Linked DNA regions of Drosophila melanogaster. The protein of the gene in region 1 interacts with the protein of each later gene in a pairwise test. Each region holds a gene or a part of one and is shown in the gene's direction. Other genes may lie near its edges.

The links.
Region 2: the proteins of CG13891 (region 1) and Acam interact in a two-hybrid assay, tested with the Drosophila melanogaster proteins (2 studies listed by BioGRID).

Annotation. Positions count from the first base shown.
Region 1 is NT_037436.4:432,469-435,928, reverse strand, and holds CG13891 (uncharacterized protein), read left to right. Parts: upstream 1-2,022; 5' UTR 2,023-2,222; coding exon 2,223-2,699; 3' UTR 2,700-2,783; downstream 2,784-3,460. Other genes in the region: klar (klarsicht), read left to right, coding at 1-811.
Region 2 is NT_033777.3:25,810,030-25,813,819, forward strand, and holds Acam (androcam), read left to right. Parts: upstream 1-1,881; 5' UTR 1,882-1,959; coding exon of another isoform or gene 1,960-2,454; 5' UTR 2,455-2,614; coding exon 2,615-3,061; 3' UTR 3,062-3,105; downstream 3,106-3,790. Other genes in the region: CG5024 (uncharacterized protein), read left to right, coding at 1,176-1,673; CG17770 (uncharacterized protein), read left to right, coding at 1,960-2,454. UniProt on the Drosophila melanogaster protein: May be involved in calcium-mediated signal transduction.

The DNA of each region.
Region 1 (3,460 bases):
CGTCCAGCAGCACCTGGACCCCAACCACATCTACCACATTACGAAGTTTACAGCCTCAAATGGCTCGCTATCAGATTCCGGCATCTCTGATGGAGGAGCTACTTCTGATGGTGGCCTGTCCGAGAGGGAGCGACGACTGGGAGTTCTTCGACGCCTAGCAAAGCAGTTGGAACTAGCTCTGGCGCCGGGAAGCGAAGCCATGCGTTCTATTGCTGCCCGAATGGAAAGTGCCGAGGCCGACCTGAAGCACCTGCAGAACACCTGTAGAGACTTAATTGTTCGCACTGCAGCTAGCCACCAGCAGAAGCAGCAGATCCAGCAAAATCAGACCCAGCAGGTGTCACCGAAGGCCAATGGACACATTAAGAAGCAGGCCGCAAAGGGCAAGGCAGAACCCCAGTCGCCTGGCAGACGTGGTAAAGGAGCTCGAAAGGCGCGTCAGGCCAAGAAGGCTGGAGAGGATCAGCAAGTAGAGGAGCCAAGTCTCAGCCCAGAACAGCAGAAGATGGTCCTGAAGCAACTCAAGACCTTGACAAGTGGCGATGGTGGGGACGACCCCTCTGACGATCCCTCGTTGCTCTTCAACCTGGAAAGCTCCGAGGAAGATGGAGAGGGAGCGGATCCTGCACAGACCTCTAAGCGAGGGTGGGCGTGGCGCATCGCGAGGGCGGCAGTGCCTATGCAGGTGGCCCTGTTCACAATCTTCTGCGCTGCCTGCCTGATGCAACCCAACTGCTGCGACAATCTGAACAACCTGTCCATGAGCTTCACGCCGCAGCTCCGCTATATCCGTGGACCACCTCCGATCTGAGGACAGAGCGCGACTAATTAAGCAGGCCGCTAATCGTTGTAGGTTACCGTTACGTTATGTTAAGGCATTTAACAGCTGTAACTAGAGTTAACCAGCGCAACCAGCCACTTAGGCAGAGCCACTAAGAGCTCGCCTGTGGCGCGCGTTTTCCGCGCTCGAGGTTTTACAATCCCGAACAGAGCGCTCTCCTCCGAAAGGTGCGACACCCAGAGGCAGCCCAATTTTATATGTCTAATTTAGGTAGCGAGCGCGAAAGGAACGCAATTTATAGTAAGGATGTATTTGTTATTTCGGTTAATTTCCTACGAGTTTAGGTTGCTGTTCGATTGAACGCTGAATATGTACTTAGGCGAGGAGCAGACGATGCCCAGCCACGTGTAAACTGCCGCATAAAGGAACAAAGGGGCGGATCGTCCCCCAGATTCTTACCCAGTAAATATGATACAAACACAATGATCAATTGAGTGGCGTTTTTGTATACTTTTTTGTTTGAAAAACACTAAAGTGCCTACAAATGCGAACTGTGAACGAGGAGCTACCAGCAGATGACAAAGGATCCGTCGAGGAGTCCAAACGAGAGTATGAATCCAAGGCACCGAAGCAAACAGAAGCTAAAAAGCCAACAGCACTAAGGAGCTAGCAATGGAGCTCACCAGAACAGCGATGAAGAATCAGAGTTTATATTTTTATACGCAACGCAACTATACACAATCAGTGCGGAGACAACGAATCTTCAGCCAACACACATCATACGTTTTATGTCTATTATATTAATAGGATAAACCTTACACTTATTTTGCAAGAAAACAAAAATTCAACAAAAAAAAAAAAAACGAAAATATCTCTTAGGTTCGTGTTTGGAATTCCTAGACTTAGTTTATGGTTTACTCACTCCTGGCAGATGATCATTGTAATATACTTATAAGGTTTATACTATACTTTGTGCGTTTTCAAAACTTTCACTTGGCATTAAAAATACAAAACAGAAAATATCATTTATACACAAAAAAACATTAAAGAAAAAGTATTAAAAAGAAAAAATCGATTTCTGGCTTTAATTCAACATTTCGTAGCTTGCTTCTAGGATAAATGTAGGCTGAAAATAGGCTGGAAGCTTTTGAGCTCACTAAAGATGTATGGTCAAAGCGCTTATAAGTGCCTCCGGGTGCTAAAGATCTTTTATAGACATAGCAACCTGGACTTGATATATGTAACTTAGTTTGCAGTTAATTTACTTCATTCTCCCCAAAATTATCTGCCTAAAATGGTCTAGGGAACTTGCTACAAAATCAAGTGTGTATATAATAATGATCTAGAAACCGGAGGGCAACGGCGACGAATAGGGGCATTATCGGGACCACCTGGAGGCCGCTGAAGGGACCTAACACTACCTAAAATAAACAGCTTCGTCATGGCGGCTCTGGTGGACGAAAGCAACTACGCCTATGTGAAGCAGGTGGCTCTGGACTGGCGGGAGCTGGTGCGCGAGAAGCGCAAGAGCAATATCTTTTCGCCCACGATAAGCATGCAGGCGGTTGATTCCCAACAGCCGATAGGGGACACAAGGTCGCGGACACAGTCGATGATTCCGGCCGAGAGACGCGAGTCCAGCTTCTACCGGCACCGCTTCTCGCAGCAGGCCAAGCCCGTGGAGATCGAGTGCCAGGAGGTCGGATCAATGGAGCCAGACCGCATTCGGGTTAGCGGAGACATTCTGCTCTACATCTACCAACCGATTTTTGTGTCAAACACAGTGATGGCCTCCATTCAAGCCTGGTCGCCCAGTGAAATAAGCATAACGTCGTCCAAACTGAAGGAGCCTATTAGAGAAGAGAACCCCACGGCTAAGGTGGAATCCGATCCATCACCCGAGCCCATGTCGCCGTAATCATGAAATCCGGTGATTCTTTTTATACCATCCTAATCGTTTAGCACTTGTGAGCAATAAAGAAAATGTAAATCTGACCATTTTAACAGAAACGTAATGCCAAATCATTACAGCGTTTAAAGGGCGTATCTCAGACCCGTAGCCAGGTTTCTTTAAACCAGTTTCTTGCCTACTCTTGTCTAAGCTCGATATCCTGTTTGCCTTCCATCGAACATCCTCAATTTGTGGGACGTCCGTTGACGTTGATGGATCTGCGCCAAATGAAACGCACTGCAAAGCTGACCTGAACGAGGGAACACCACCTACATATATGCCGCACGGCGACAAAGGTGAAACCCAAAGCAGGGCTTCCTTCAGAAAGTTTTGCTTATGTAAAGCCAACAACCAATGAAAATTGAGTTAAGTACATAAATTCAAACTTCCCCTCTTCCATGAGACGTGGATTTCTCTGTCTAACACACAAGCAGCCATATCTATGCATCCCTTTTCTGTGCATTCAGTTTTATAGCTATCTCAGTCTACTGTTAAGTGCATAGCATAGACACGAACCACTGTTAAACCTTTAAGAACGCCGTAAAAAGAAGTAATCAATAAATTTACGAGGTAGTTAATGAAGTCTAGACCGAGTAGATAATGTAATAAATTAAATTAAAAGGTTAGATTTTAAGCTCTGTTTATCTGTGCGATATTTATGTTCGAGACGATGGTTGTAAACTATCTATAAATTATTTATGGAGATAAATTTAACTTAAGTCAAAGTG
Region 2 (3,790 bases), on another chromosome or scaffold:
TCGATTGCGGCTCGGCTGTTGCTATATCGTCCTGTTTATGCCTGATTAAAGTCAAACAACAAACATATTCTGAGCTGCATTTACCAGACAATCGTATAAACATATACACATGTGGTCATCAGAATAGAATTTATTAGTTGGGAGATCTACAAATCTGCCAATTATTTTAAGCAAATTGTTTTTACTCTCCTTTAACGCAAACAACTTTTATTTATTTAGTTAGTAGCCCTAATTAATATATTACCTGCTAAGTAATACTTGGAACTATTGTTTTCCATACAAATATATAATCCCGCATCTCTGGCCCGAAAAGTCCTCTCTAATCTATGCAGAGAAATGCTTGACAGTGCCTTGTTGTGTGGCTCAACTTTGGCCCCAATCCTAAATCCTTTGTGTCCTTCGTGGCCAGGATTTGCTTCTCATTACCAAGAAGCCCCCATTGTTCGCTCCACTGGGAGGAGCACGTGTGAGAAAGGTTGATGGCCAGGGACATGGGTTTGTGCAGTTTGGTTCTCGCCTTCTCCGCTCCCAAATTATGCAAATTGCTCGAAATTTTGCATTGGATAATTTCCCTATTTGCCCGTAATGCTCAATAAAAAAAAAAAAAATACAAACACAAAAAACATTTTATGACCCAAGAGACCAACGATGGCAGCAAATGGCTGAGCAGAAAAAATACTGAACAGTTGTATAAATGCACCAACAAAAATAAAAATAATATAAAAACAGAACAAACTGCGACGCATTTAATTAAAAATGTAATTACCCATGCTTTTCAACAGCCACATTGCTCGAAGCGGTAGCCAGAGGCTATGAAAACATTATTCGGAAAATTGTTGCAAATTTAATTGTTAAATCCTGCTATATTTTACTGCGGTGTTACTGCATCACGGAGCAGTTGTAGTTTTTTCCATTTCACAAATTTATCTTACTGAAAATGAGTTTAAGAACCATGTCAGAAAAGAGCGTGGGGCAACTAACAAAAAAAAAATTTTAAAAAACTAACTAGTAATCTTTTGTTGTCAATGCCTTGAATTTTCCACAATTTCAGTCTAAATGGAAAACTGTCAATGAAAAGACAATATTTAAACACAACTATTTTCGAAAAACTAAATTTTAAAATTCATCTTTTCGGGAAATCCAAATTTTAGCCCAAGGTATACTTACAATTTGCCATGGATGACTTTGATTTCAGTAGTCCACCTCCGGAGGTACGAACAGTTCATACCCACACGCTGAATGATGAACAGCTCAAGGATTGTGAGGCGGCCTTCGCCCTCTTCGACGACGATAATGCCAAGGTCATTCCGATCAAGTTATTGAGAGATTGCCTGCGAGCCGTGGCCCACAACCCGCCGGAAAACGAGATACAGGATTATATAACCGAAATTGATACGGATGGATCCGGCGAGCTTTATCTCAGTGATTTCCTATACATCATGTCGAAACGGTACGAGAATTTGACCGTCGAAGATGAAGTTATCCTCGCTTTCAAAGTCTTCGACAAAGATGGATCTGGCTTTATACACGAGAATGAGTTCCGTCAGATAATGACTGAATATGGCGATGAAATGGAAGAGGACGAGATCGAGGAAATGATACGTGATGCCGACGCCAACACGGAACTGAAAATCGACTACGTTCGCTTTGTGACCATGATGATGGAGACGTAACACTCTCTTTGAAAAATAAAAAACATAACCGATTGTAGATCTAATCAATAAATTTCAAAAGCATGGCCAATGGAATCGAAGATCTTGAAATATCGGATACCACCAGTTTGGACTATTCTTTAAAAAAAAAAAAAAGCCAATATACAATAGATAAAATGATAACAAGAGTAGGCTTTTCTTGTTATTAAATTATAAATATGAAGTTGTGAACTAAAGTTTGTCGAAAATTTGTAGTGAGTGTTCAGTGACCCCAAAATTTTCCCACCCCCAACCCCTTCCTTTGGCCATGGATTTCGAATTCCTTACTCCGCCGCCAGAGGAACGGACCATTCGCACCCACAATCTGACCGAAGAACAGGTCAAGGATTTGGAGATTGCCTTTTCCCTGTTTGACGACCAAGACACTAAGGTTATTCCTATAACAAATCTCAGGCAACTAATGCTGTCTGTGGCCCACTATCCCAGTGATATGGAATTGCAGGAAATTCAGGCCGAGATCGATGCTGATGGATCCGGTGAGTTATATCTCAGCGATTTCCTTCACATCATGTCTCAGAGGTACGCAAACATGTCTACCGAGGATGAAATTATAGCTGCATTCAGAGTCTTTGACAAAGAAGGAACCGGCTTAATATCTGAATCGGAATTTCGTCACATAATGCAGAACATGGGGGAGCAATTGACGGATGATGAGGTGGAGGAGATCATCCGTGATGCAAATTCTGATTTGGAAGGCAATATAGACTATGTGCGATTTGTCAGAATGATGTCCACTACATAAGGAAAAAGCAGGCTTTAGGGGTTGGGAACCCGACCTGTCAGTATCAGTATCATCAAAACAGTTTCGGCTCATTCCCTTTCGTAAATTCCAACAGTCTATAGCTCTGCAAGCATTTAAAAATATCTCGATAAATACCGAAAATCTTTGAAAATTTATCAAGATGTCCGAACTAACGGAGGAGCAGATTGCCGAGTTCAAGGATGCCTTTGTCCAGTTCGACAAGGAGGGAACCGGCAAGATCGCCACCCGTGAGCTGGGCACATTGATGCGCACCTTGGGCCAGAATCCAACGGAGGCCGAGTTGCAAGATTTGATAGCTGAGGCCGAGAACAACAACAATGGCCAACTGAACTTCACTGAGTTCTGCGGTATAATGGCCAAGCAAATGCGGGAAACTGACACTGAGGAGGAAATGCGTGAGGCATTCAAGATTTTTGATCGTGATGGCGATGGCTTTATATCACCAGCTGAGCTTCGCTTTGTGATGATCAATCTGGGCGAAAAGGTCACCGACGAGGAGATCGATGAGATGATTCGCGAGGCTGATTTTGATGGGGATGGCATGATCAACTACGAGGAATTCGTATGGATGATAAGCCAGAAGTAGTACAGCTACTTTAAATGAAATAAAAATATTTGGGGTCACTGCATAAAAAAAATCGTGTATTTCTCTTCAAAAAATACAATTTACACTTCTCTGCGGTCTAACTATTTTCGAACACTTTTTAATACGCCCCCAATTATTTCAATTATATTTTTGCGGTGTGCTAGTTTTTCCTTTGCCTAATTCGGAGACCGAGAATTTTTCAAGCATGTCCTGCTCTTAAAAATGTTTGATGAAGGCACCCCATTTCGGTAATTGTGGTTGGTTTAAGGAATTTTCGCCTCGCCTTCTTCAGGTGAAAACTTTCAGCATGAAACACTCGACGTGGTTTTAGTCCGCCTTTTCGTTTCCCTGGCAAGTGGTTTTTGCTTCCACATGCGGCACCTTTGTGGCCAGACGAACAATTTTCCTGTTGCTTAAATTCAATTTGCTTATGCATTAAAATTAAATTTTACTGTGGCCTCAGCGGGCCCGGCTCGTACTCCTTGCTGGAAGCAACCTCTTGGGGTCTTTGGGGCTTGTGTCTGACTTTATAAATATTTCGTGTGTGTTGTGTACGCGCATGTATGAATTTTCAATTTTTTGAACAAGTTTCGGTTTCAGTTCAGACATGTCAAAATGTCAACTTGCTTAATTGAGAGTCCGCAAAACATCGAGCATCGCATCGCATTGCATCGCATTGCATCGAATCGAATCGAATCGAGACCTTAACTTCAATGTGCATTCGCATGG